Lonchura striata: one gene and its partners. The protein of the gene in region 1 purifies or fractionates together with the protein of each later gene. This does not show direct contact. Links are inferred from orthologs where the notes say so. Each region holds a gene or a part of one and is shown on either strand. Other genes may lie near its edges. The genes, in order: CNOT1, CAPZB, OBI1 and FHL2.

Evidence for each region.
Region 2: the proteins of CNOT1 (region 1) and CAPZB purify together in Homo sapiens (affinity purification with mass spectrometry; 5 studies listed by BioGRID and IntAct, with this or other methods). This does not show direct contact. The link is inferred for Lonchura striata from reciprocal best matches to the Homo sapiens genes CNOT1 and CAPZB.
Region 3: the proteins of CNOT1 (region 1) and OBI1 purify together in Homo sapiens (affinity purification with mass spectrometry; 3 studies listed by BioGRID and IntAct, with this or other methods). This does not show direct contact. The link is inferred for Lonchura striata from reciprocal best matches to the Homo sapiens genes CNOT1 and OBI1.
Region 4: the proteins of CNOT1 (region 1) and FHL2 purify together in Homo sapiens (affinity purification with mass spectrometry; 3 studies listed by BioGRID and IntAct, with this or other methods). This does not show direct contact. The link is inferred for Lonchura striata from reciprocal best matches to the Homo sapiens genes CNOT1 and FHL2.

The regions. Positions count from the first base shown.
Region 1 is NC_134615.1:16,321,899-16,329,623, forward strand, and holds the start of CNOT1 (CCR4-NOT transcription complex subunit 1), read left to right. Parts: upstream 1-4,710; 5' UTR 4,711-4,840; intron 4,841-7,725. Other genes in the region: SLC38A7 (sodium-coupled neutral amino acid transporter 7), read left to right, coding at 65-122, 468-582, 807-954, 1,037-1,236, 1,515-1,569, 1,663-1,765.
Region 2 is NC_134626.1:7,422,620-7,429,920, forward strand, and holds the start of CAPZB (F-actin-capping protein subunit beta), read right to left. Parts: upstream 3,019-7,301; 5' UTR 2,905-3,018; coding exon 2,902-2,904; intron 1-2,901. UniProt on the Homo sapiens protein: F-actin-capping proteins bind in a Ca(2+)-independent manner to the fast growing ends of actin filaments (barbed end) thereby blocking the exchange of subunits at these ends.
Region 3 is NC_134604.1:48,208,405-48,215,344, forward strand, and holds the start of OBI1 (ORC ubiquitin ligase 1), read left to right. Parts: upstream 1-3,933; 5' UTR 3,934-3,986; coding exon 3,987-4,058; intron 4,059-6,940. UniProt on the Homo sapiens protein: E3 ubiquitin ligase essential for DNA replication origin activation during S phase.
Region 4 is NC_134604.1:89,246,691-89,254,433, reverse strand, and holds the start of FHL2 (four and a half LIM domains protein 2), read left to right. Parts: upstream 1-4,739; 5' UTR 4,740-4,823; intron 4,824-7,743. UniProt on the Homo sapiens protein: May function as a molecular transmitter linking various signaling pathways to transcriptional regulation. Negatively regulates the transcriptional repressor E4F1 and may function in cell growth.

The DNA of each region.
Region 1 (7,725 bases):
TGGGGCACTGGATGGGGGTCACAGAGGATTCTGGTCTGACTGACGGAGGTTTCTCTCCTGCCAGCCCCTCCAGCTGGACAGCTGTCTTCAATGCCATGCCCACCATCTGCTTTGGGTTCCAGGTAAGGCCATGAGCTTGGCACTCCCCCTTCCATCCTATGGTTGCTTGGGTGACAGACTAAAACCCTGCCTGTGTAATTCGCTGGTTGATTGGCTAAAACCCTGCCCATGTGCTCAATGCACAGTTTTACAAGGAAACTGAAACCTTTTTAACATCTCACCACCTCTGAATGGAGAAGGATCCATTTTACCCCAGCTAGAACGTACAGGGCATCCTGTACCTCCAGCTTTTCTTCTCCAGTGACAAACCTGGAGTATCACAATATCACAACACATGCTGAATATCACGAGTAGGATGCCCTGTGGTCTGGCCATCATGTATCCCCACTGTCTCTGTGTCCTGGCAGTGCCACGTGAGCAGCGTGCCCGTCTTTAACAGCATGAAGCAGCCGGAGGTGAAGACCTGGGGGGCAGTGGTGACAGCAGCCATGGTGATTGCTCTCTTCGTCTACACAGGCACTGGTAAGTGAGGGGACACCGTGTGAGTGTGGCACAGTCCTTGGAGTGGCTGTGAGCTTCAGGAGGGCAGGGACCCTCTGGTCAGCAAGGGTCAGAGGGAGAAGGGAGGAGAGTCCATCGGACACCTCTGCAATGTGCTCTGTGCTATATCCATCTAAGTCTGGTCCTTCAAACAGATGTTCAGGAGACTTGTCCTTCTCCCCTGCTGACTGCTCCTTTCCTGACAGGCATCTGTGGCTTCCTAACCTTTGGAGCTGGCGTGGAGCAGGACGTCTTGATGTCCTACCCCTCCAATGACATCCCTGTTGCCCTCGCCCGGGCTTTCATCATCCTCTGTGTGCTGACGTCCTACCCCATCCTGCACTTCTGTGGCCGGTGAGCGCTGGGAGAGATGGGGCTGATGTGGGAAGGAGGAGCAGCACAAGGAAACCCCTCTGTCCTGGGTCTGTGCCCACAGGGCTGTCCTGGAGGGTCTCTGGCTCCGCTATACCGGGGTAACAGTGGAGGAGGACGTGGTTCGGGAGCGGAGGAGGCGCCTGCTTCAGACCATCAGCTGGTTCCTCCTGACACTCCTTCTGGCTCTTTTCATCCCTGATATTGGCAAAGTCATCTCTGTCATTGGGGGCTTGGCCGCCTGCTTCATCTTTGTCTTCCCAGGTAGGGCATCCTGTGATGCTTAGGGGCTGACAAAGCTCTCATGGCCTTGTGTCTCAAAGAGGGAGGGACAGGATGGAAACACAGGAACCAGGAGATTTTTAGAGGAGGACAAAAATGTGGTGTGGGGCCAGTCAGCAGCCCAACTATTTTGACTGGACATGGAGCTCTGTAACAGGGAGTGCAGCTTCCTCTTTTATAGGATGTCTGTTCAATCCCCAGTGGATAGTTCTCAGTGGATAGTTCTCATCTGGTTCTAATGTGCCTTCCCTACCTTTCAGGGCTCTGCCTGATTCAAGCCAAGCTCTCTGAGATCCAAGAAACCAGGGCAATCAGGTAACTGAAATGTGCCTCCCCTCTCCCCCATTCCCCTCAGGATATTGGGGTGAAGGACCCCTCTAAATACTCCCTGTCCTCCTGCATCCACAGCTGGTGGGCCCAGGTCAGCTATGGGGTGTTCATGGTCACCCTTGGAGCCTTCATCTTTGGACAGACTACTGCCAATGCCATCTTCGCGGATCTTACAGCCTGACTCCTCCAGGCTGGACTGCACTGCTGCTGCTGAGGGGATGGACATTTCCCCTAGGACCAAAGGGAAGTGGGAAGAAAACATGTTGGTGTGTTGGGAAGATCCAAAAGAACCGTTGTGACTTGGGGCTTGGCTGAAGAAGCCCTGTGGTGGTTTGTATCTCATTGTCTTAAGGCTGCAGGCAGTCAGGCTTCTCTCAGCCCTGGCTCCCTGGTGAAACCAGAGCAACACTACAAGGGGACCTGTCATCCTTCTGCCCCTGGGAGTAGACATCACTCCCTTAGACATCACTAAGGGGTCGTGGCTGGGGTTTGCAAAGCCATGCTGCTCTCATGTATGTACCCTTGTTCTGGTGGAGCTCCTCTCCACAGCTAAAAGTCCTTCTCCCAACTTTGCAGAGAGAAGCAGTGTTCTGCATAAAGGGAAATAGTAATCATGTTTATCAGACAGGGAGACACCCCATAGTCCTATTTTGTGTCAATGTTTGGTTTGAGTTCTGGTTTCCTGCCGGTCTCCTGCCCCTACGGTCACATCTCCCTCTGCCTGGGCTGCACTTTTTTACAAAGGGTTGCCTTCAGCCTGTTCAGGTTTTTTCGTTTGAGGATCAGAATGCCCCTAAGGTAGGGACATGCCAGTGCATTGTTTTCCTTGCCAGGGGTTGCTCACTCAGTAGAGAAGCTGCTATGGCTGCATCAACCTACTGAAGACACTACAATAGAGCAATGCTCTTCTCCAGATTTACAATCCCGTTCTTCCAGGTGTCCAGGAAATGGGACTGGGCCAGGTTTTAAGAGATGCTTTTGGGATAAAGCAGTCAGTATTAATTTGTTTTATATTGTTCTCTTTTTCATTTACACTCTGTGTGGCTGGTGTTGCTCTGGGCTGTCCCTCTGTTGCCTGTCTGGATGATAGTTTCATTCCTGCTTTTTCTGGGTTGAGCAGTTCCCCCAGCTGCAGATTTGGTTGGGAGCGTTAAACCTCAATAGCATTGTTCTCTTGTTTCTCTTTGATTTTCTTTTTATGTTGTTTGGCTTCTAAAACCCTTGGGGAGGAGGAGTTCAGCTGTAGCTGTTGATGCATCTGCGACAAGGGTTCAGGCCAGATTTGTGCAAAACCTGGCCCTGCACCTCATGCATCTTCTGGAAGCAGCACAGGCTGTTGTGGTGGGAAGGAGAAGCATGGCTTGTGCTCCTACACTTCTCAACGTGGCTCTCTCCCACTGCAGCCAGTGGCTGCAGGAGGGGCAACAGCCCATGGGTGCTTCCCTGTGTGGGAATGTTTGGTCTTTCCTTACTAACACTACGTGTAAATGGGGACCTCTCAATTGCTGATTAGGACAGGAAGACCCAGATAGAGAAGGAGGAAGAAAAGCCCAAAGCACAGCAGGAATGTTTGAAAGATGCTGTGAAGGCACAGATCCCTCCTTCCTCTCCCAAGGGGTCTCCAGCATCTGTGCCCTCATCTTTTGACAAAACCAGGCTCCACCAAACCCCCACTTGTATGGCACCGGCTGTGTCCCAAGCCCCTTTGCCAGGCTCCTGTCTGTGAGCAGGAGCTGGGGCTTGGGGACCTTTTGGCATAAAGAAGATGGCCAGTTGTCCTGGACGTGGGGAGCAAAGAGCCACCTCCCATGGAGCCCAGCAGAGATGCTCAGCAGATGCCAATGCCAAGATGCCTCCCAGTGCCCACCCTGCAGGAAGATGAAAAGGTTTGGTACCTGGTGGGTCCTGTGGCTCTGGTTTGCTTGAATGTGTGCTAGGCATGAGGTGCCTTGGCCGAAGTGGAGGAGGACACGATGTTTCATGTCACCTGGGAAACACCTGGGCTCCCTTGCTGCTCCCATGGCTGAGGGCTGGGCAGGTCTGGAGGTGCTGTGGGTGTTCCTGTTTGCCTTACTGCTCCCCTGTTTACAAACACTGGCCTTTTAACATGTATTTTGTACATGCAGAAAGTGGAGGTAACTAAATAAAAGTGACATTGTGATGCGTGTCAGGCCAGCATCAGGTGGTTTCTGTGGGAGATACTCCCGGCTGGGATACAGGGATGAAGCCATATCCTGAAATGCCATCCCAGCCCTCCTAGCTTAGGGATGGATGGTGTGGAGCTGGGAAGTCCCGCTGCCTTCCTCAGACGCTCATCCTCCGGGGTATCTCCGCGCCCAGAGCCGGGGGATGCCAGGGAAGGCTCTGTGGGCCCCGGTCCTGGAGCGGCACCTCAGTGTCGCTCCCCGGGGCCAGCAGGCGGGTGTGGTGTGGCTGAGACGGGCGGGAAGGAACTGGAGGGAGTTTCCTCTTCGGGAACTCAGGCCGGCCATCCGGGAGGGTGCAAATGGAGAGAGGATTTCCTTAGAAAGGAAAACCCGCGGCTGGAGCGCTCTGAGGGAGCCACAGCCACCACGGTGTGGGGGGGCAGCGCCCGGGCCGCACCAAGGCAGCGGGAGGGGACGCCAGTTCATGGGCCTGTACCACAGCGCTGAATGGGGGGGAACCGTTCCTGGGGTTATACCACCACTGGGGGGAGGAAACAACGAGGTGCGGGGGGAACGGGGCGGGCCGCACCACTCGGGGAGGGGTACCCCCCCGCCATGACTCCGCGCGCCCTTTGGCACCGCCCGCCACTTCCCCTTCCCGCCCCGCCCTCGCGCGACGCCCCTCGCTCATTGGCCGGCCTCGGCAGCGCGGGTTGGCCGTCGGCGCGCACGCGCAGGCCGAGAGGGCTTCGGAGCTCTGATTGGCTGAAAGAGTAGGAAGGATTTCGGCCCCTCGCGGCCAATGGCGCGCGGCTCAGGCTCCGCGCGGAGGGCGGCAGGATGCCCTCCCCCGAGGTCGCGCGGCGCTGATTGGCCGGCTCTCGCGCGGCCCCGCGCTCTGATTGGGCGAAGTCGTCTCCGCGGGGGCGCGGCAGCTCCGCGCGCATTCCGCCCCTCCGCTCCCCCCGCGGCCCCCCCCGCGAGAGGACGGGGGAGGGGAAAGGCCGCGGCGCGAGCGCGCGACCCCATCCGCCATTTTGTATCGGAACGGCGGCGGCGCGAGAGAAGCGCGCGAGCGGCCCCGGCCCGGCCCTCACGACACCGCCGAGGTGGGAGCGGCGCCCGCCCGGCCCCGGGGGCTGCTCTGGCTAGCTGTGGGGGCACTGCGAGCTTCGGGGCGGGGGGGGGGTCGCGGTGGGGACGGGGCCGGAGGCAGAGGGACCGGGCCGGCTTGCGCCGGGCGCAGCGGAGTCCGCTGAGGCACCCGCCCGGCCGGGCCGCCCTGCGGGGTGTGCGAGAGGCAGCGGCGGGACCCGCGGCCCTCCCCCCCGCACTCCTCGGTGCCGCGGCCGCCCCTGCGCGACAGAGGGAACTCCGCGGGGTGCGGGGCGGGAGCCGCGGGTGTTCCCGGCTCGGTGGCGGGGGCAGGAGGCGGCGGCGGTGTCGCGAGGTGGCGGGGAGACCGCCAGCTCCGGAGCTGTGCTCATTTCTCCCCCTTGGCTTGTGTAACGCCGCTGGTGACAGGTGGAGCTTTGAGGACTCCGGGCCGGGCCTGCCCCGGCCGGCCTCGGCGGCCTCAGTAGGAGATCGGTGTTGTGACTTGCCCGCAGAAAATATGGGAAAAGTGAGCTCTAGTAAATAATCCGGCCACGTAACCTTCTTGCAGACCACAGAAGAGAAGTCCTTCTCAGTGCTGTCCTTCAGTGAAGAAAACACTGTCCAGTAAAATAGACTTGTCTAATTCTAAACTAGAAATAGCAACAGTTGGGTGTCTCGACAGATTCTGTATCACTGCAAGAGCTTCTTTACAATAGTTTCCTAACTTGGATTAGTACCGTTTATTCCTTATATAGGAACTATTCACAGTTTAATTTCAACAAACCACAATCAGTTTGGACTGTATTTACAACAGAAGTGAGGTAGTACTGCAGATACAACACTAGTCTGTTGGTATATCGTGTACTCAAATTGTTTCTGAATCCCACTTGTAAGGAAGCATGGCAACTATTCTCAGGAGCTTTTTTTAAGCAGGTAACAAGACAAGTGTGACTCTGACAAGTCACTCTTAGTGTACCCAACTGATTCCTGTTTCTAAGGTAACTACTTTGGCATTGGCTAAAATCATGGGCAGGGTGAGTCCAGGTGGGATAACTCTCTTGTAAACAGGAAACAACCTTAGTTGGTAGTAGACTGAGCTGTCCTTTCTACGATTTTTATTTTGATTCTTTCAGCCTTTTTGCTTATATGTTCACTCTTAACTGCTGTTGGCCTGGTGTCTCCAAACCAAACTCACAGCCAGTTTATTGCCTACCTACGTCTCTTCTTTGGAGAAATACCTTATCCTTTTTATCCTATATAGGGTTCCTAGATTTTAGATTTATGCTGAAATGGCCACTCTTGGTGCTTAGCTGAGTAAGTGGAAGAGAAACTATGGGAACATAACTTAGCGATAGAGGACAGTAAAGTTTTGTGTCCCTGTGATGGGACATAACTAAATCATGTTAGGAATTGTTATCACTGAGAATCATAGTTCAGGCCATCACTATTTTAGCCAGATTTCCCTTTTGTTCCATAAACATCCCCAAAGTATGAACACTGCAGTTTTCTTTGACTTTAAAAATAGAATTTAGCTATTCTAAAACACATTTTGGATGGTAAAAAACCATGAAGCATCTGATAACAAGTCCCTCCTTTTTGTGCCTCCAGCAGAAACTTAATTCTGCAGGTCTTGTCTGAAGGAGAACTGGGAAGTGAGAGTTTCTTGTTTTTTGGGGTTTTTTTTAACAGTCTTAGGTAGAGATGTGAAAGTATCTCACATCAGAAAGTATCTACAGTAGCCATGTCATGTTTGATGCATATCTCATGTATTTGGTGTAGATTTCAAACTGCAGCTTCACTGGCCTGACTGTATAGGCAAAACTTAGGTGCTTAGTTCAGCCACAGTCTGAAAACTAAAGTTACTGTGTCTGATCATCTTTTGACTTCCAGTTTACTGAAATTGGGTGCAGCTTTCCAGTGTATGGAATGTTCAGATGTCTTTTCAGATTGTATACACCTGAATTTGAACTGGTCAATTGAATCAGGAGCTTATTTTACTGCTAATGTGACTTTCACTCTGGGGTTTTTTCCTCAGTAGTTTTCAAAGTGGTAGACATCCTGAAATATAAAGTATAGTATGATTCAAAACCACCTTTTTCCCTTGGATTGCTCCCAGTGTTGGCCTTCATGTAGGTGTACTGCTCTTCCATGTTTTGTATTTGTTCATGGGTTTAAAAAGAGGGTAAGAGACTGTTCTGGAGAGCAGGTTTAGCAGTGGTCCCTTTAGCATGTTTTATGTGATGTTTTGTGACAGGAGTTTAGAACCTAATCAGCAAACACAGTGCTGTTTGTGTCACTTGATCTGTTTTATCCTCCACATGCAGCACATGTGCCCTGAAATCATACAACTCTTGAAATCCAGCGGCAATAGTTACTGACTTCTGCAAAATTCTGAAAAAAAGATCCAAAGTTAGCTTAAAGTAATTGAAATTTTGAAATTACTTCCTTTGTAGGAGTGTTTCTGAATTTGTGGAAGACTTCAGGTTTGTCGACTTCAGCATCAAGGCTTACTTGCTCTCTAGTGATTTCTGGTTAGTAGGGAGTGTCTTTGGTCACACCTGATGGGTGGTTTCATATTGGCCCACTCTATTTTATGATCTTTGGATGTTTGCCTGAAATTTTATTGCATATTTTCATATTTTAATCCAGCAGAACTCTGCTCTTGAAAAAAGATCTACTGAAATAGATGACAAATGTCTTTTGCTGATGGGCTGTCATTTTCCTTAGGAAGAGTTGAGGGTGTGTAATGCTGTAGAATTTGGTAAATATTTTTTATCTCTTTAAAATGGATTGTGTTTCCCAGTATAAAATAGTAATATTGTAAGAGCTCCTGAGTCCTGTGCTGGGTATCTTAAACCATTACTGTATTATAGGATGTGTGACTGAAAATAGCTAA
Region 2 (7,301 bases), on another chromosome or scaffold:
ACTGGGGAGTGCTGGATGATGATGAGCAAACCGAGTTCCCCAGCCATCCTTCACCCAGGGAAGTCAAGGGATGGATGGAAAGCAAAGCTGACAGCTGTGCAAGTAGACATTGAGAAGGGCAGCATGGTCTCTTTCCCAAAGAAAGTAATTTCTCAACTCAACTCCAGTAATAAGGACTAAAAATAGGCCCCCAGAAGAGCTGAGCTGCACTTTCATTCTGTTTCACTCCCAGATGTGAATTAGTCTCATATCAGCATATATATTTACCATATGAGGAAATCCTGTTTGAACAACTTCAGCTTGTGAATGTTTTTGCCTCCCTAATAAACCACAAGATTAAGCATCACTGCAATGGCAGTATTCCCTCTCCCAGTGATATCCTCTGATTTGATTATTTTGGGAATTTGCCGTTTAAGATAACATTTAGTTAAGCTCACACACTTGGCTTGCCTAATAAAACACAGACTCTACAAAACAGCTGAAGTTGGTGTTTCTCAAAAGGAACAAGGTGCAAAGGACTTGCTGTGGGTACTGAAAACGTCCCCACACCTCCACAGCACATTTTGGAGGTCCAAGAGGGATACAGCCAGGTTAGAGATGGGTTCTGATTCCAGACAAACAACTCCTATCCTGAAAATCTTAGTGGACCCTGAGCAGCACACGAGGTGCGTGTTGGTGTCACTGTCACATCACACACCTTGGGCTGTGCTTCACTGCTCCATATCTGCCTCACAAATCCTAGATGGATGATGCACAGCCAGCACTACACTAGACAGCCTGAATTTATGGATGATTAAATCATAAATTTTGTTAAAATTGTCCTCCTTTTTCTCAAGAGTTGCATAGCAGAAGAAATCCTTGCTAACACGATCAGGCCAGTTTACATAACCTGGAAATGAAGGGTTTTATTTTTACAAAGAGTAACTGGATTCCATCCATTCACAACCCACAATTCCAGAAATCTCAGCAGATCCACTCTCCCAAGTCCTGCTTTGCCCTGAACAGAGCATTCCATTTATTTTTAGCACAGGAGACACCATCCATCCAGGCAGTTTTCAAGCTTCATGTGTTGCCCTGCCCTGTTTCCCTGAGCACCTGACTGAAATGTGGGCACAGCTCCGAGCTCTCCGAGGAGACCAAGGTTCCCAGCTCTGCTCTACACAGACATTGGTAGCCCTGTGGTACCATGAAGGTGTCTCACCCAATATCCTGCACCATACCAACTGCTCCCTTCAATGAAAGGGCCATTCCACCCTTTCAACGCTCCACTTCTGGTCTCAGACCATTAAAAGTAAAGATCCTGCAAGCACCCTACACGCTGGGTTTGCACATGAGTTGAAACTGGAGGCTGCAGGTTCATCCCTGAAGTCCACTCAACATTGGAAACCAGCACATAGTGTTGGAAGTTCTGATCCAATTTCTCCTATGCCCAGTGGTTTGCACAACTAAACATGAAAAAAAACAGAAAGCAGCAAAACCCGGTAACAGTCAGGAAATTTCCAAAGGATTTGTGCTGTACCTCCTCCAAACTACTGACACAGTTACATTTAAACCCTGACTGGATTTTCCTAACAGCACGTTTTATATCCCATTCAAAGAAGTTGGTACCACTGTTGTTACTTTCCATGAAGCCTCCTTGTTTTCTTTGAACTCTTTTCCTGTGACAATTTTTGCAGTGGCATAAGTTAGGACAGTTTGTTGGAATCCCAGTTTGAGACTCTACAGTCAGGTCTTGCACACACAGATTTCAGTGTGTTACAATTAGGTACACAGCTGGAATAAGATGCTCCATCCTGCCAGGACTCAGGTATGGCACCTGCTCTTGTTTGAACCAATAAGGAACAGAACTTTGGTCATAACTGTTCTTCACCTTTCACCTCACATTAAAGATCTTTATCCTGCATGATACAGGTGGCTCCAGCTCCAGAGAAAAAACATAAGGCATCGCCTCTGAAATTCCTATGGATGACGGCAAGAAGTAAAGGATTACACTCGTGTGGTTAAACAGACTTCACACTGCTGTAGAGCCAGGCTCTGGGTTGATCTTTTATGAACTAAACACATTCAAACATTGTTGAATTGTCATGTTGGAAAGCCTGAATCAGAAATCCCCAACAGCACAAAGTGATGTGATTCCCTACAAGTGACTCCATGGCTGAGGAGGCTCGGGAAGAGCCCCGGCCAGCAGGCAGGGAGCGGAGCAGGGCCTGGGCCCGCAGCTGGAGCGGCTCCCTTTGCACAGCACCAAAGTGGCACCGAAAGGGTTTGTGCCCCGGGCCAATCCGTTCGGGAAACACAGCGGGACGGAGATTATTCCACACGGCTGAGGCAAGTGGGGCTGGTCCGTGGGAAAGGCAAGTTCCCGGGCGTGCGGAGCAGCACCAGGGCTGCAGCAGCCGCTGCTCGGGCAGTGCCCGGCTCTCGGTGCCCCGCAGCGCTCCCGGTACCGCACGGGGGGAACAGCCGGCCTTCCTGCGGGGAGCCACGGCCGCCGGGCCCGCCGGGCAGCGCCCCCGGTACCGCTCCCCGCCGAAGCGGAACCGTTCCCTGGGTAATTCCACATCATTCCCTCTGCGAGCACCGCCCGGGACCGGCACCGGAGAGCTGGCAGTGACCGGGCAGCGGAGCCCCGGGGAGCCCCCCGCCCCCGGGCCCTGCGGTGCGCCGGGCAGAGCCTCCGCTAGCCTTAGCCCCCCCGCAGCAGCGCCCTCAGGCCGGGCCAGCCCTCCCCGCGTCCCGGCAGCACCGCCTGGGCCGCCCCTCCCTCCGTCCCCGCCGCCCGGGGGAGGCCGGGCGAGGCCCCCCGGTGCGAGGGGGCGGTGTGGGCGCGGGGGCTGCTGCGGGGGGGCCGTGCGGAAGGGCGGGGGCCGCGGCGGGGGCGCGGGGCCGGCCCGCTCTCACCATGTCGGCTGGGCGGGTGCGCGGGGCGGTAGAACGGCGGCGCCTCCCGGTCCGTCCCTGTCGCTTCGACGCCGCGGCCCGTCCGCTTCCGCCGCCGCCCGGCAGTGAACATCCGGGTCAGCGCCGCCGGCCCCGCCCCGCGCCGCTCCCCGCCAATCAGCGCGCGGCTCGCCGGCCATCGCCAAGTATGGATGCGCGGCGGCGGGGCGGGGGGGCGGGGCGGAGCGAACCACGCCACCGGCGCGGGGGGGACGGCGCGCACGGCGGCACCAACTGCGGCGCGGGGGTGAGCGCGGCGGCCAATCAGAGCGCGGGGGCCGGCCCGGGGCGGGGCCTGCGGGGGGCGCGCCCGCAGCGCGGGGCCGGCCCTCAGTCGGTCCCGGAGCCTCCGCGCGGGAACGTCGCTCCCTCGAGCGCCTTTAAACGCACTTGTTTTAGCTTTAAACGAAAGGCAGCACGAGGCAGGCGGGTAGCACGGCAGACGCCGCCCAGAAGAGGTAACGAGTAGCAAACTCGTAAAGCTGGGTTTTGCAAAGGTAAACTGCACTTTATGCATGCCTGTAAGGTACCAGGTCTAAAGTGATGTGGAAGAAGAAGCAGCCTCCAGCTGCTTAAGGCCAGGGATAATTATTAATTATTTATTATTTTAAAAGTAATCGTGAATTATTTTGAAAAGGAAGTGTTGGTGTTGGGAGGTACCTGCTGGAAGCCGTGCAGATGCTGACACACTGGAGGCCTTCAGGGCTCAGGCACTTGTGCCAGGGATAACGGGATCACAGAAAATCAGGGTATATCTACTAATAAAGCATTCCTGTTATACTCAGACTGTCTCAAAATAAAGCATTTGTTCCTTTTACTGGAGTAATTCCCATTGCAGGGATTTCAGGTAAGACATCCCAATTCCAGACTCCTGGCCTGTCCTCAATACGGGAATCTCAGAGCTACAGCAGACAATGATCCCAGGAAAATGTAAGGATTCGTTAGCACCAACAGCTTCCTCTGCAGCTTTTTATGGAATAGGTCAGGCCTTGTTTCACCCCAGTTTTATTACCAAGACCCCAAAAAACCTCCATTGGGACTCTGTACTGCAGACTTGGCCCTGGGGAGCCAAAAGCCTTTCCCTGGGTTTGCTGTAGGAGCTGGAAATGCCAACATGGGGTGAAAAAAGGGCTTTTTCCTTGGATGTCACAGACACAACAGTCACACAGGGCTTGTACCATGGATGTCACAGACTCTGCAGTCACGCAGGGCTTTTCCTGTGGATGTCACAGACAGCAGTCACACAAGGCTTTCCCTTGGATGTCACAGAGCTGTCACACAGGGCTTGTCCCGTGGATGTCACAGAGCTGTCACACAGGGCTTGTCCTGTGGATGTCACAGACTCTGCAGTCACACAGGGCTTGTCCTGTGGATGTCACAGACAGAGCAGTCACACAGGGTTTTCCCTTGGATGTCACAGAGCTGTCACACAGGGCTTGTCCCGTGGATGTCACAGACAGCAGTCACACAGGGCTTTTCCTGTGGATGTCACAGACACAGCAGTCACACAAGGCTTTCCCTTGGATGTCACAGAGCAGTCACACAGGGCTTGTCCTGTGGATGTCACAGACACAGCAGTCACACAGGGCTTGTCCTGTGGATGTCACAGACACAACAGTCACACAGGGCTTGTCCCGTGGATGTCACAGACACAACAGTCACACAGGGCTTGTCCTGTGGATGTCACAGACTCTGCAGTCACACAGGGCTTGTCCTGTGGATGTCACAGACAACCCCAATTTCCAGGGCAGTGAACAGCTTGGACGTGGATCGGGTTACAATAGCCAGAGACAAGACTGCACTACATGAATTTGCACCACAATGGAGCCCGTGCAGACAGAACAGCTCTCAGCGGTGGCAGAAACAAAATGAACCCGGAAGGGTGGAGAGAAAACAGTAGAACGATGTCAGGAGAAACAGGAACTGTATTCGTCCACAGAAACACAAAACCACATAAAACTCCATCAAGAGACAGTACCAAACAAACCCAAAGGTGGGAAATTACCCTTCCACATTTGGGAGAGAAGCCACATGACCTCAGAAGGCTCAAGAGACTCCAAATTCAGTTCTTTGCCACTATTCCTCAGCCTAACCTCCTTCAATCCGCTTTGTCAGATGGAGCAATCCCAAATGGCTCCTATTTTGCAGTTCCCAGATCCTCCTCCAGTCCTTGCATTTCCTCCCAGCTGCCTCCCAGCAGTAATTAAGAAAAGCAAACCTGTTCATTACAATGGCCAAATGATTCCATTTTTGTCCAGGGATCCACACATCTAATGCTCCTCAGGGCTGGGAGGCCAGAACTGATAAATTTGAAAATGTCTGTTCTAAAATTCCCTCTTTCTGTCACAAAATTCATGCAAAGTACTCAATGACAATTCTACTTGTAGCAGCTTTTAGTTTTGAACAGAAACAGCTCCTAGCTGCTTGCTGGAGCAGCACAGCAATAGCAGAATTAGGCAGCCCAGTATATTTCAAACAATTTGAGCTCTAAATGAATGTTGAGGCCAAGAGGATGTTTTTCTTAGCGGAAGAAATACAAGCATCCTGGATTTTGTTCTCCTGCAAATAGGTATAAAGAAGAATAAACAGCTGCTTTTTGTTTTCCCAAAAATATTTGCATTAAGAAGATCTGCAGATTCATTTTGAAATTGATGTCACATCTTTTTTCAAATGAGGACCAGCTGTTTGCTTTGGTTGTTTATAGCAGGCCATGTTTCAGGGATTTTTTGCTGTTTGTTTATTAAGATGTAGGACCAGACTGCTGCAGTTTGGTGTGGAGAGTGGATCCCAGCAGGCAGAAAGTCCATGAATGTCACCACCATCCCACTTGTGTTGGGATTTGTGGAGGGGTTGACACCAAATGCAGCAAAATCAGGGATATTCCATAATCCAAGTGCTGTGAGGTAGGTTCCCTGTGCCTCAGGCATTTCCCAAACCTGCAGGAATGGATCACCCACCTACAGGAAAGAACACTCCAAAGGGCTCGTGGCAGGAATAACCCCTCTCTAAAACAAGCATCTATAAACAAAGGAAGCAAACAATGATGTCAGTTGACATCTTAAGGGCCCAACAACATCAGATTCATGTGCAATTAATAACGAGTCTTTTGATCCTGCAATCAGCAGCTCTAAAATCCATGTGCTTTCCCTGTACATTTGATTACATTCGAGGAAGCAAAAGGATAAACACTTATTAGCATTACAAAGTACTTTTCACATTCAGCCAGAACTTCCTGAAGCATTTGTGATCCAGCACGATGTGGTTTTTATTTTATCCTCCTGCATGCGTGGTGAAACGCTATTTATTTGTTTATTCCAGCATTTATCCAGGACCAAGGGTGACTGTGAGAACATGCTGAGGAACAATGTCTGAGAGAAAACCTTCATGCTTCACTGAATAGTCATTTTTTGTCATAAAGAAAGAAACATCTTGATTTTTTTTTTTTTTTTTTTTTTTTTGTCAGATTGCCCATTTTCTTTCATGGCACTTGAAAGATATGTAAACTTTTATTGGGAGTTCTCATAAATTGAATTTATTGCTGCAAGAGTCTTCCAGCAATGGTAAAGTTTAGCTTGCTGGGTTTTATTAGTCAGAGTCAGTAAAACAGCAGCATCACTTGGTCTGAGGCTGAAAACCGAGTGTTTCTTGGAAACTAATATAGGAAAAAGGTACCTACAACACTACCCAATGTCTTGGAATTCTATGTTCAAACCACAGATAGTTCTCACTATGGAGATCTTGGTACACAGTGTCAAAATAGTACACAAACAATAAAAAGTCCCCATCCTGAATCCAAAGCAGCTTTGCTGAGTGTATTCTTGGAATTTAAAAATTTTTAGAGTTTCCCCATTTCCTGCATGAACTGATGAGTAATTCCAAATACCACGTTTAATGAAAAACAACATATCGCCCATTTAGTGTGAGGTTTGAGGCATTCCCCTCCCTGCACTAAGAATGTTGGACCAGACTTTTTTCCACTCCATCAGCACCCGAGCAGATCTGCTCCTTTGGTTAATGGAAAGGATAAACCCAGCAGCAGCCCAAGGTGTCCATTCACTGCAGGACTGCTGGGAGCCCTCGTGTTCCAGCACATCCCACTTAGCTGCACATCCTAGGACACTGTTCATTCCTCTTCTTGCAGCTGCTCCTTTAACTTTGTATTTTCAGCTCAGAAAACTGGAGAGACAGAGTCTTTAGCCTGAGCAAAGAAAGTATTGAGGGCATTCTTGTCAAACTTGGTCATTAACTAGCAATAACGTCTGTGGTTTTTCATTAAAAAAGAATCAAGGAGAAGCTGATTAAATACAGCAGAAAGAAACAAAATTTTCCATTCCCTTACTTTTTCCTTGACACGTTGCACT
Region 3 (6,940 bases), on another chromosome or scaffold:
TCTTTCTCTGTCCCAGTTCTCTTACCTAATGGCCAGAGATTGATATTCTGGCCTCTAACATTCATTTTATTTCCCTTCCAGAAACACCAAATTTTTTCTGCAGCCAAACCCCAAAGCACTGTTTTAAAGAGAGAGATGAAATTTGCTTACATTTTAAAATTAAAGCCACATGGGAACTCCCAGAGAGCAGATGGCAAGAGCAGCCTACAGTCCTCAGGCAGCATAGACAGGGGTATCTGAGAGCTACATATTTCTACTGAATGGCCTCTGAATGGCAGCCAGTGAGTCCCTGAGATGGTGTCTCACAACAGGAGCCAGTAAGGCCACCGCTCTGCAGGGCTCCTCAACAGTAAAATCCTGAGGAAGGGGAAGCTGTTTTCACCCTTTAATAACCACAGGTTTGAATTAGGCACCTAGAACCCAATGCTTCTTTACTCAGTTTGAGGCAAATTTCATCCTATATTCCCCTAAATCATGCAAAACCACCTGGGAAACCCTTTTATAAAAGCTGAAGATTCATCCAGTCTGGTTCTGAAGAGAAAGCTCTTCAAAGCCAATTTGAACAGACTTCATTGTTGCAGAAGTGGACACTGAGGGTGAAGAGTTTGGCTATCAGTGGTTTATATCTACTTGTGTTGGTAAAAAAACTGACCTTTAGGTTAGGTTTTCATGGCATAAAGCCCCACATCTAAATATATATATATTCAAATCACTGGAAGCAATGCAACTGTATTAATTATCACTGGGCTAATCAGCCAAGAAGACAGACATTTCATACCTACACCTGCTCCTTCCTCTCTCTGCACACTGTTGGGAAACATGCACAGATCCAAAATACAGGAATTGATGTACTTTAAGCCAAAAATATGTTAACTTTATTAATCTTTATGAACTAAACTCAAGCAGAAAAGAAATGTCTTAGTTGTCTGATCATTTTTTCTTGTCCTATATTTGTTCTTTTGAAGCTCTCACCAAAGAACTTTCCACAATTTGTGACAGATGCTATTTTCATATTTCCACTATAATTCCTCTCAGGTTTCTGAGATTTCAGGAGCAGGTAGTGAAGTTGCTGAAGCATTTCACAAATGAAGCCCTAATACTAGAAGATCATTCACAGTTAGAGTCTCGGCTTTTAACCCATCTTTTTTCTATAGGTTTACCAGCACTGGCCATATGGCTGGAAAACTGCCTGACTCTTTGATCCTTTTGCCCCAGTAGCAGCAGAGGTATGCCAGGCATTTCAGGAATTGTTTTCTCTTTCATCCTGGCTCCAGCCCTTTGAAAAGTATCCTTCATGCTACATGGACTGTGGTGTTCAATCCCTTGGACCTGTTAAACATTTGTTACCTCCTGCATTTACATGGTATTTCTCAGCTCCCCTCAGCTGCAGCAGATTGTTACCCCTCCAGCTCCCTTCTCCTTGCTCCCTGAGGTCTCACTTTCAGTACTACAGAACTAAGTATTTTCCATACCCCTGAAAAGTTGGTAACATCAACCCATAAATTTCAACAAAACCTGAGGCGCTACTAGATCACAAATAATTTTTTAAGTACTCCTTCACAGTCTATGCATACAACTTCAGCAGAAATCCACTAAACAAATACGTTTAACCTCCTTAAGAGAAAACATGTTCCTTTTAGCAGCTTATTCAGGAAAATAAACTCCTTTACAAGTTATTTTTGTTTGAGAGAAAATATATTCATCCCAACAGAGCTTTTCCTCTAACAGGTCACTTTCCAGTTACATACACTTTTTTGAAGCAGTGGAAGTCATGCCTTTGAAAGGGTTCCTGCTTCATCCCAGATTCATTTAAAGGAGTTTCACATGTCAAATGTAAGATGCATTTCCCTGCTTTTGATTTCTCTTTCATGCATTTACCCTTTCTACTCTCGATATTGTCTATTCACATTTTTTCAATAAAAGTCAATATAAAAATAAAGCTAAAAAAGATAAATAAGAGAGATTCATTGCATTCCTGTGTAGTTTGCTGGCTGCACAATAAACTCACTGAATGAATTTCAGGCTCCAATGGCTCTCTTTTAAGCTCAAACATCTCAAAAATTTTACATTTCCCTTGAAAAAATTTCTCTTACCACCATTCTACCTAAGCAGCATGTCAGTGGTACCAAGACTAAAAGAATCTCCTCGAAGTGCATGTCCACTCACTCCAGTCTATCTTAATTAATGATATGTGCATTATGTTGGTAAATTATTCTTTTCTTATTTGACAGTACTTTTTCCTGAAGTTTACTAAAAAGTGTTGTAACATGTAAGCACTCAATTTTTATCAAGCACACCTTATTCAAACCCGCCCTCTCCTACTCAAGCATTGCATTAACACCAAATCCGCTAGGTCTTGTCTATGCTGGAATGTCACCATGGATTAGTTCTCTCGCTTTATTTGCAGTGACTTACCTATACCAAATTGAAATGCATCCGTGCAACTCTGCTGTGTCAGTCTAAGATACTTTCCTTGTTAATCATTGCATCCACAACTTTTGCTTGTTTGAATCAGCTGCTCAGCATTATAAGCATTTATCTTGTGGTGCAATGTTGAATCACTCAAGTCTGTAATTTTCAGCATGCTGTGGCACATTTACAAGAAACTACAGGAATCCTGGGACTGAGGTCAAGCAAGCAGATTCCTAGGAGCCTTATATCCCCCCAGCAGTGCTTCCCCGCTTTTTTCCAGCAGCCCAGAAAGTGCAACAGAAAAGCTCCATGATTTGGAGAGTTGTTGGCACAAGCTGGATGGCAGATGCAAAATTTTCATCCTTAGATTTGGCCCCTTGGTTTCCATGGATCAGAGTCTTCCACATGGTATCATCACATGCAGCACCTTGCAGGGCATGAGGATTTATCCCAGTCCTCATTTTTTTTGTTGCTCCCAAAGCTGCGGGCTGTGCAAATCCCACCTGAGCTGACTGGCAATGCAGTGGGGCCAAGAAGCAAAGCTGCCTGTGCAGTGTGGGAACCCAGCAGTGATGTGAGGCGTGAGACTGCAGATGGACTGGCGGTAATGGGGAAGGGGGGCTCATGCCCTGGGAGTTTCCCCTAGAACACAAGAACATGTTCCCGTATCCCAGGAAGGACAAAGACTTGTGGGAGTGAGACCAGAGGAGGCCACCATGTCGGTCAGAGGGATGGAGCACCTCTCCTAAGGCTAAGAGAATTGTGATTGTTCAGGCTAGAAAAGGATTCAGGGTGGCCTAATTGGGGCCCTCCAGTAACTGAAGAGAATCTACAGGAAAGATGAGCCAAGACTATTTACAAGGGTACACAGTGACAGGAAAAGGCGGAACGGATTGAAAAATTGAAAGAGAGTAGGTTTATATTAGAGATTGAGCGGTGAGGCACTGGAACAGGTTGCCCAGAGTTGCGGATGCCGCATTCCCGGGAGCGTTCAAGGCCAGCCCGGATGGAGCTCTGACCAACCCGGTCTGGTGGAAGGTGTCCCTGCTCATGGCGCGGGGGATGCACCAAGATGGTCTTTAAGGGCCCTTCTATCCCGAGCCATTCTATGATCCTGTAATTCTATTCTGTAATTCTACGATTCTGTGATTCAGGACAGTTAACAGAATTAAAACAGCCGTTTATCTTTATTCAACATGATGAAACCTGAGCACAGCAAAGGTTTACCAGGGGAAAGAAGACCATCCTTGCTACCGCGTCGCCCTCCTGCACAGGCACTGTGCCTGCGCTCCCCATGGCGCCGTGCTTCCCCCAGGAATGCCGTGCGCAGGCTGAGACCTGCCCGGGCTCCCGGGCCGCGAGGGGCCGCGGGGGGCCGCGAGGGGCCGCGAGGGGCCGCGAGGGGCCGCGAGGGGCCGCGGCTCCCGCCCGCCTGCAGGGCAGCGCCGGCACAGCGCGCGGCGCTCGCTGCGCCGGGCGGCGGCTTGGCCTCGCCGGCTGCCGTAGCGCGGCCGGGGCCGGGGCCGCCCGCGGAGTTCCGTGCCGCCCGGCCGGGCCGCGCCGCTCGGGCCCGCATGGCGCAGCACGGCCCCAGCGTCACGCTGTCCCTCACGCTGCCCATCACCTGCCACATCTGCCTGGGCAAGGTAACGCCGCTGCCCGGCCCCGCGGGCCGGGGCTGGCTGCGGGGGGCAGGGAGGTCGGGCCGGCGGCGGCAGCTCTGGGGCGCTCTGACCCTTGTGGCCGGGGTTGTGTCTTTTAAGGCTGCGCGGCTCCGTGCGGGGAAGGGAATTGGGGTGTGCGCCGTTCCCGGCGGGGGCCGGGGCTTGCCGGCAGCCTCGGGAGGTTGGGAAGCGCGCGTTGTCCCGGCGGGATCGTGCCGGGAGGTGTAGGATGGGCCTGGAGGGCCCCAGGTATGCCGTGTGCAGCTCCCGAGGGGCAGGTGCTGGCGTCTGGGGGCTTTCTCCCGTTACCAGTAGGGTGCTCCATTGTAAACGCTCGGGGAGCCTGTGTTTGAGTGTAGTGCTGTGTCGTGGAGGACAAGTGAAACAAAGAGGGGGCGTATAAGCAAGCAGATTTCTAAACTGTTCAGCAAAACTGCAGCAGTCTGGACAAAAAGTTCCCGTTTCCTCTCCGACCTTTTCTCAGTCCCTTTTTCTTTTCCCTCGGGAAGAAGAGGGCTCTTACTAGTCTGTTCTTCTCTAAAAGCCCCAGAGCCAATTTCATGGCTGTCACTAATTGCTTCTCAAATTCTTTGCGCATTCCTTACTAGTTTTTTTTTTTTCTCTCGTTTTCTTTTCTTAAAGCACAACATAATTACAAGTGAAGAAGTAGCCTTTTGTGTTTGTACTCTGGCACGTATTGTCTGGTTTGTTTCTACCTCACCTGGCCTTCGCTCCCAGACCTTCTCTGTTGGAGTGATAATAAAAGAGCGGGAGCATTTGGTGTGTGAAGTAGGCGTGTAGCATTAGTAGTGAAAGTGATCAGAAAGTGGTCCCTTAAGTCTCAAAATTCTGACAGCGTGTTACTTTAAGCAACCACGTTTACTCATTTCTTGGGTTTTTTTTTTTTTTGTTTTTGTTTTTGTTTGTTTGTTTGTTTGTTTGTTTGTGGAAGCTGAGCAAGATTTCCTGGCTGTTGTCATGTTAGTTTTCTTTTTTCTGTTTATCTGTCTAATGAAAATGGAGTAGAACCCAAGTGTACTCTGTATGTAATGCAGCATGGATACCTTCCACTCTGCAAAAAGTGGAGTGAAAAGAGGAGAGTGAAATTAAACTGACAAAGATATTTGCTATTTGTTCCTAGTTAATTTCTGATCTAAGCACTTAACAGTTTGGTTAGGTGTTCATTCATATCTTGCTGTAAAGCCACTGAGTTATTCCAAGCCACTATTTCATACTTTCACTTCCTTTTTAGATGTTCCTGAGTTTGTACTGGAAGAGGCTTCCACCCTCTTCCTTGCTCTCTTGCACTGAGACAATACATTAACATATATAAATGAATTGTGAATCTATTGGTGATTAATGTAATAAAGATATTTAAATGCTCTCACTTTTAGATGTGTAAATCTGTTTAAATTTTGACAAAGCTGACAACTCTGACTGCCCTTTCTTTTTAACAGACATCTTTGTCTCTAGTTTGGAACTTCATTGAAAAAGTTCACCAGAAAAACCCATTTTCTCAGGATTATTAAGGTTGGAGAAAGGAATTTGTTTAGCCTGTGTTAAGGAAAAAATCTTGTCAGTTTTTATTACCTTTTAGGGGAGAGCAGGGAGTATCATGGAGGGTTGACATAATACTGATACTTCTGTGGTTTATGGCATAGACTTCAAATCAAGTAGAAGGCCTACCCTAAACTCAGAGTGTTTCTCTTTCTATCCCTGCAAAATTTGCAAAGGTTTGACTGCAAGATACAAACTATTCTCTGTGCATTATGGTAAGAGGATAAAAAAGGAAATGTTGAAGAAAAATTCTTTTAATGAGTTGGCCACTCATTGTTCTTGATGGAGCTGAAGTCTTGGGTAGCAGGGACACGTTAGTCCATTTTGTTAACATGAACAATGTCAGAAAGTATATTGGCAAGATGTGCAAATAACCATTTAAAGTAATAGTGAATTGCTTGTATCAATTTCATGTTTGTTACCTGAATATTCTTTTGGTACAGTCTGGGCCATCTTCTAACACAGCTGCATTTTTTAATTAGGTAGCAGATCAGAAGCCATCTGCTTCAGACTGTTTTTCTTGTCCCAGAATGTTTGGAGGTCTCTCTTGTTGGTTTTGGTGTCGACAGGTTGCTTGGGCTCAAGACGCTGTTCTGTGTTGGTTGAAACAGTGTAGGATATCTGGGATTGGTTCACTGACTGGGTGTGTCTGATTTTTCATGTGCCTGCTCCTCCGTTAGTGCTGCCTGAAGGCCCAGAAGTGCCTTCAAAGTGAAGTCAATGTGTACAGGATTGGATGTTGATCTGCATAGGGATGGCATTATGTTGGAGGTGAAAAATTAGGAAATAGCTCAAAATTACCAAGCTGATTAAGCCTTCTGAAATAAACGGTTGTCTTTCTGGATATTATGGTCAATGAATGCACTGGAACTGTGCTGTAATTCAAGTAAAATGCTTTTTTAGTAGTAGGTATGTCCTGATCTCCTACCCCCTAGGCTTGTCACAGTTGGTGGGAGGGGCAGTGGCAGCACCAGCCATTGTGTGACATTTCAATAGTGGCTCTTGCTGTTCTGGTGTGCCTTGCTTTGTGTGGATCCTGAGTGAACTGAAGTATAAAACCCCAGCCCTGAAATGAAACTTGTAAAGGTGTGTAAATCAGAAGCACTGTACCCTGGAGAGTAATACATGTGACTTATTATTTTGCTAAAGATATAGAGTAATCATTCATGTGTGATTCTGTGTCAGGTTTGGGGTAACTGAGGGTCTCTTGCTCCCCAGGGGGAAAACCTGCACTCATGAAACGTCTTTTCCTGTTTGGATTATTTTATGTTGCTCTGCTCTGTATCTTATCATCACCATCCATGCAG
Region 4 (7,743 bases), on another chromosome or scaffold:
AGCAGGAGTCAGGAGGAATTTCAGGGACCAAGGTCCCTGCTCTCCTGCTGAGGGGGCTGCTGTAAGATAGCCGGCTATAGCACAGCAGAGCCTATCTCCAGGATGAACATGGTGAAAAGGGACCACTTTACTCTCCTGCTTTTCTGAATGGGACTGCAGGCACTTTGGAAGAATCTTCACTGTTCCGGACTCATCTTTTGTTTCATGTTTAGCGACCAGAGGTCTTGACTTTTTGACCCTTTGTAGGGCTTCGAAGGACTCAACCACAAGAATAAGTGATAGCCAGCTGTTCAGAGACCATGATGGCAAGTAGAATAATAGTCTAGGCCCAAAATGGTACACTTTCCTAAACTGAGCTTGTCAGGATGTGAAAGGGAATGGCAGAAGTCCTGAGACACACAAAGCTGCTTCGCAGCTTAATGCGGTCCTCTCCATTGTTGATGTGTGAAAGCATGAGATATCAAAGGAATAAATAAAGAGTATTGGAATTCATTAATTAGCTAACATGGAAATTGGAAAGTTATAACTGATGTTCATTTACAGAGGTAGAGGCATCACTCAATAATCAGATCATAACACTCTGTAATAACCCTGTGTTTACATTTGTTTAAAAAATGTCTCCTGTTATATGCCTCTGTTAAAATGATGAGGGAAGAGGAAAGACTGTATTGTTTTCTTTGGTATTCTTTATTGTCACAGTCTCCAAGGTGAGCATTTTTGCATGTGAATTGTCTCTCTATAATTTTGTTATTAATACTATTGCTGTTTATTTTCTTATCTCATTGCTGTTTTCAGTAAATTTTTCTTCCCTCAAGCTGTTGTCTTCAACTTTTGTGCCTCCAGTTCTTCATTCCATCCCACCACACGGGGAAGCAGGAGGGGAAGTGGGACCAAGAGAGAGCAGTTGTTTGAGAGAGTCTTGGTGGGGGTACTGATTTGGAGAGAACCATTCCTAAACCATGGCACTGAACAAGCACTCTCCCAAACTGTGCTCAAAATAGTACTAGTCCCCATGCACAAACTGGTCCCAGTACTTTATTTCCCTTAATCATTAGACAGAATTCTTCTTGTTACTTGAATTTCTCAGGCAGATTTCATGCCCTCTTATCAAGAGAAAAAAATGCCAAGTAAAGACCATTTTACACCCCAAATGTAGCAGAAGGCTTCTGTTGAGCTGTCCTGTTTATTTGAGTGGTTTCTCCACCTTCCCACACCAAATAATGCTGCTCTATATTCTAAGTTGTGAGCTCTCTGTGGTGTTAGACGAGATCTTTTTGTGGAAAAACCCACAGATATGTACCATGCCCTCTGGCCACCTCTGTTAACTCCTGTACTAGTTTTTGTCTTGGAAGTAAATGGTTGGAAACACAGAGACTCAGCCTGAAACCTTCTGACCATGGAGAAAGCTTTCTGTGATACCACAGATTTTCTTTCTATGGTGACTCCAGCTAGAAGATCCTCTCCCACTTTCACTAGTAGTTTCCAATGCCACATTCTCACTTGTGCTGCTACATTTTTTTGGGGGGGAGCACATGCTGAACCAAGCAGGAGAACAAGCTGGGTTATATTATGATTTTTTAAAGAGTATTTTGAGGTGGCTCAGTGGCTTCAGTACAGACCCAGGCAGGGCTGTACTCACCCATCTGAGCCAGCTCTGTCCTGTGTTGTGGTAGCAGAGGTGGGCATCTGGGGGGTCATGCAGGAGGAGAGTTTTGGAGAGATGGAGTAGGTTTTGTTGACAGTGGTGTAGCCATGGGGAGAGTTATCCATGGAAACACGCACCATACATTGAAAAGACCAGCTAGATTTGCCACCTACGAATGCCACTTTGTGAAGGGACATTAATATGTCAGTGAGCATAGGAATGGCTTTAGGAGACTGGAAAAAGGCAAATTAATTGCTTCAGGAAAAGTTTCTCAAAGTTTTCCTTTCTTTTTGAAATCAAGATACACCATACAGGAGGTGAGGCACTTGGCACTATGGTTTAGGGGTGATTATAGTGATGTTAGGTTGATGGTTGGACTAGCTGATCTTGGAGATCCCTTCCAGCCTTGATGATTCTTTCATTCTGTGACAGAAGTCTAAGCTTGTAAGACAGACAAGCTTTCAAGCACACTCTCTAGTAGTACATCTTCATGCAAGGGGAAGGTGTGAGGCTTACCTGAGCCTGAATACCTGGGCTGGCTTAACCCAGACATCTTTTCACACATTGGCAAGGGAGATTGTGATGTAGAGTACAGCTTCATCTGGAGCATACCCCGGGAGAAATTAGCACTGGCAGTACAACTAACCTTCAGGCTTATCTCCACATGAGGCTGAGTTGACAAATGACAATCACACCTTTGCTGCTTTTTTATCAGTGACAATTTAACCATCCCTTTTTATTTGCCTGATATTGTGGAAAATGACTGATTCCTCAGGAATGTGGTGGTCACTGGGAGTGCTCAGGGCTGCATTCTGGGGACAGAAAGCAGGGAAACTGAAGCAGCTAGAGTATGACAGATTACTGTCATAATCCTAGGTTACAGGCTTACTGTCATAACCCAGGTTACAGCTACCACCTTAAGAGGCAGTATCTGTGGGCCCAAAATAAGACAGATGTAGCCTGACAGGTTAGATATGGGACACAGGTAACTCCTGCTGGTTCTTTCATTTGTCTTTGTGGGTGAAGTTTCTCTATCATCATTTACAAATGTCATATGTGACCTTCTATACATCTCAGATCTACACTCTGGTTCCCCACCATGTGCCTGTAGCTATTAACTTCAGTTCTAAAGTGCTGAAGAGCTGTAACAGGCATTTCTGTGATACATATGAATGTCTGAAATCCTGGGCCCCAAAGTTGTTTATTTTTAGGATAGATATGCTTGGCTCCTGCTTCTGAAGCAGGCACTCCTCCATCACAGTTGTGGCCATTGCAACCCATGCTCAACTCACACAAGTTTAGGTTTTCTGCTCTCCTTGATAGAAGACGTAATATGATGGAACAAGAATTATCTGTTTGCAGTAGAGGAGAACTGCAAACAGAGGGTTATTTGTCATACAGGAGAAGGAATTGTGAGGGCAGACTTGGCCATCAGCAGACCTGGCAGGGATGGCCCTGCTGGCACACTGCCATGCCTTAACAGGGTTACAGAAGAGAGAGATGCAGATGCCTCCTGCTGCAAGAGCCAGACCTCACCTGGATGTGTGGCTATAATATGGTCTCAACAGCTCTGGGGAGTTAGTTATTGCAGGGCTGATGACTGGTGAAGAATGCAGACTTTTTTCCAGGATATGAAGTCTTGCACTGTATTAACCGACCATTCAGATAACATAAAATCATATTTTAAAATCATTGAAGCATATAGATAGAGGTGATTTCATTTGTTTCAGAATAAAATGTACTGAAGGGTGACAAAAATCTCCAGTAAAACACTAAAACCTCCAGCAGAGGCCTGAGGGTTGTTAAATCACACCCAAAGGTGGGGGGGGGGGGTGTTAGAGCTCCTGCTCGGAGCATTACTTCACTGTGGAGAGCCACCTGCCTATGGTCTGAAAGGAAAAGAGCTGTGACCAAATGTGAATAACTCAGATTCATCCTCCCAGATTCATCTTTCAGACCACCCTATACTTTTACTTGAGGGTCCTCAGGCTTAGTGTCAACAGCTAAAGGACAACAAGTGTTTGAGTTTTGCTGGGCAGTGGCTTCCAAATTATGAAACTGATTTCCCTGGAATCAATTCCTAAAGTCTTAGCACGTGTCTAAGACCCTGGGCCAGAAAACAATTTAAACATGTGTGAATGCCCATTGGCTGAAACATGCCATGAGTTCTCAGTGCTGAGAACAGGCTTTTGTCTCTTCCTAGGACTGTTGGATCATGGGCTCAAAAAGCAAGGTAGGGAGCTGATCCCAGAGGGGCAGTGGGATGGGCAAGGATCCAAGTGCTAAAAATACAGTGGCCTCCTTGACCTGCAAACAGAAAACATTTCCTCCCATTCACTCGGTACAACTTTGGTGCTGGGTGAGCCTTATGTGGGGAAAGAGGCCACCACTTTCTGCAGGGACAGCAGGGACAGCAGTGATGAGGATGCAGAAGGAGGGCATCCTTGCAGAGAGCTGTGGCTGCCAGTCTGGTAAGTAAGTGTATGGCACTGTTTTCCCATTAAATCCCTATTAACTCAGTTTTAAAGGAGAGCCTGTGCAAGCGTGTGTTGTAGAGAGGCTCCTCGAGGCAGCTCAGGTAAGCAGTATGCTTTATAAATTCTGCTTTTAGTGTCTCTTTTTTAAGATTCTGCTAACTTAACAAATAAATCACATTTTTTAATATAAGTGAGATTGAGATTTATTTAAACTAGAGAATGGTTGGAAATTCAGGTTTTGATTATTATTTTTCCTCTGTACTTCAAATTAAGCGTGGGCTATTAATGGCAACACAGAAGTTCTTGTGTAATGCAGTTTAAGCTGGGTGCTTTAAACCATTTAAACATAGAGGATCACATTCACCTTTCTACAAAGCCACTAAAGTGATAGGAAATAATATTTAAATATTTTTTTCAGACCAAAACATTTTCATTAAAATTAATATAGTATGTTTATAAGCCAAACTAATTTTGCAATAAATGGTTTAGTGTATTTAGTACAGAGTATTTATATGGTTACAGATAAAGCAAATGCATCATTTTGCTAGCTATTAAAAATACTTAATAATTTCAGTTGGAGTACTCAGCTGTAAGAGCTGTTTTCCATTTCAGTGAACTTTATGCTGTGGAGAGGAAAGAAATGATTTCTCCACATGGCTGAGCATCAGGTTTCTTTGAGCATGGAAGCAGGCTTGTAAAGGGTAGGTGTTTATGCTTGCTTGTTTCCATCGAGAGTGTTCTCTGACATGCAAATGACCTTCCAGCTGCTAGCAGGCTTTAAGCAGATCTCCTTTAAAACCTTCTGCTGCAAGCCCATGTCAGCTCAGGCCAGCATGTGCATGGATTAGCTTTGTTTTAGCAGGCAGAGTTGTAGTTCCTTTAGTGCTGTGCTGCCACAGCTGGGTGAAAACCACTCAGTGGCAAAAGGGGAAAACTGTATAAATTATGTGCAGATCACAGGCTCTCTTGCCCTTTTCCCTCTCTGAATCCAGCTCCACCAGGGATGATTTCCACTTGAAGGCTGACTTGGAGCAACACTTTCTGAAGTAGTCTTTATAGTTAATATCTGGGAGGTTTTGTCCTGTTTTCTTTAGCAGTGCTCACTGTCTAAAATAGTGAGGATGTTTAAAAAGTGAGAATGTCCCTACACTTTTGAGTAAGCTGAGTGGTGCTTTGGGCGAGGTGATTCACTCAGCCAAAAAAACAGACACATTTTTGAAAAAAAATTATCTCTGCCTAGCAGGAGAAGTAGTTCATGGGTAAGAATGAGCAGCCAAGACCAGGATAAGGCAGTATTTATCTAAGCCATCTGATAATAGTTAACTAAAAGATGCCTGGCAGATGGCATGTTAAAACTGACCAGAGTATAATCTGGAGTGAAGAGAGAGGGAAGAGAGAAAAGCCAAAAGGAAGAGAGGAGGGAGAAGACTTGTATCCATCTGGAGTTTCACCCAGGATGGCTGAAACATTAATTTTTGGGCAGCTATACATGTTCCTGCTTCATAGAGTCTCTGAGGTATAACAGGAGGTACCTGGGGAGCACAGGGAGCCCCTCCCCAGTGCCCTACACTCCAGTCACACCTGTACAACAAATAGCTCTCCTGTCATGTCACCATTCATCTATGCAAAAATGACTGAGCGGATGTTTTGAGGGACAGCTAATGTTGCAGTGCATTGCTGAAAGGAAATCTACCCATGACAGCATTGCATAGTTGAACACCAGGCTTCCATAAATAATTAGGAAGGCAAATCTTTGCCTTTTATCTTTGTCACAGTGACTGGAATGCACCTCACTACCTCCAGTGATTACAATTCATGCAGCACTAAAACCACAAGGTATGCTTTTCACATGCCTGATGTACACCCCTCCACCCACCAGCATTGCTCATAAATGTCCCTTTTTTTCCAAAGATACCAGGACCCACTGGCAAAACTCGGAGACTCACCAAGTATTGCTTGAAACAACAATCTATTGTTAAAAAAGAGGAGCTCTTCACAAAAGACATGTCTGATAGGTCCAAGGAGTGACTGGTGAACTAAAGTATTTGGAATGTTTGTGTTGTGAGCATGATGGAAGAAAGGGTTCAGAATAATATTTTGTAGGCAGTAAGAAGTTTCAGTAGGAACTTTGCTCCACTAAAAAGACAAATACTGATAGAATCCAATTTAAACTAGGTGCTGTATTTATTACCATTAATAGCAGTTTTTATAATAATAGCAATAATCATAACAGCAATAATCAATCAATGTGGGATGGGCAGCCAGCAGCAGGGAAGTGAAGATGTAAGGTGATTGAGGATGAGTCCTAGACCACTCCCATTGTCTTGTGGTGTGTGTATGCTAAACTTTCAAAATAACTGGTACCAAGAAGAGGAATTTTGATAATGGCTACCAGCTTCCATGGAAAAAAAAAAATCTTTCTTATCTCTGCATGTCTCCACCTATGGTGCCACCACTGGTTGTTCTCTCTAAGTACCTACAACACAGCTGGCCAGATGTTCTTCACTCCTTTGGCCTTTATCACAGCACAGGGGTTGAGAGGAAAACCTTGAAAGGGTTTTATTCCAAATCAGTCTGGCACACTGTGGAAATGCACATAGCAGGGTGTTAATGCTGTCTAACCTAACCTGTCCAGGCATCTGTCCATACCCCTACTTGAGCTGCCTCTGGCCCAACTTCTGGAGGCCTCCATTAACTGCAGGACTCATGAAGTTTTTTTTATGGATTGAGCTAAAGATCTGAGTCAGGTATGAGCAGAAAAGGCTGACACAGTTCAGAAAGGCTGTTGAATAAGAACAAGATAACATTTTGTCAGGACATGTGTCAGAAATTGTATGTCTGCAGCTGATCTTGCCCAGGGGCAGAAGATCCAGCTTTGTTTTTCTGTGAATCTGTGGTGTTCAGTGAGTCCCATGGTCAGAAGGAGGCAAGCTGGAGGAAATCACACAGAACCTGAATTTCTCAGGGAGTTATAACAGCTTAGGAAAAAAAAGATAGCTTTGGGAAAATGTGAAGAATAGCAGAAATTTAAATTTTGAAACTTGCCTGAGGCATCACTTCTGGAAAAACCAAGTTGATACAGCAAGTAGTGGCTTGATGTGGCGTTATTCTTATATCTCTGTGATGTTCATTTTCAATAGAAGATGGTGCTAAGTGAGGAGGGAAGTGTGTATTTTTTGCTACAAAATTCAATGCCTTTATGACAGACCCTCATGAAAGGCTTTGGCAAACCTTGTCCTTGTGCCTGGCACAAACTGTACTGAACAGAGCGTATAAAGTCACAGGTAAGATTTTTGCCTTCAGCTATTTGCAAGCAGAGTTGGTTTAACATAGAGCAATTTGGATGAATTAGAGAGTTTAAAATGCTTCCCATCACCTTATCCTCTACTGCTCTGTCTCTCTGCCTGCAGAACTATTTTTATGGCCAGATCCTTATCTGACCTCTTTAAAAACCTTGGTGCAAGGGGTCAGACTGGTAGGCACTCATGTCTGCAGAAGTTTATCTGCTTGTGGCATCAGTCAATGTCTCATCTCTTAGGTTGCCACTGAAATTGTGCTAAGGTTGTTTGCTGATTGGAGAATATAACTTAAAGGTTGGCTGTTTAAAACATAGATGGCCTG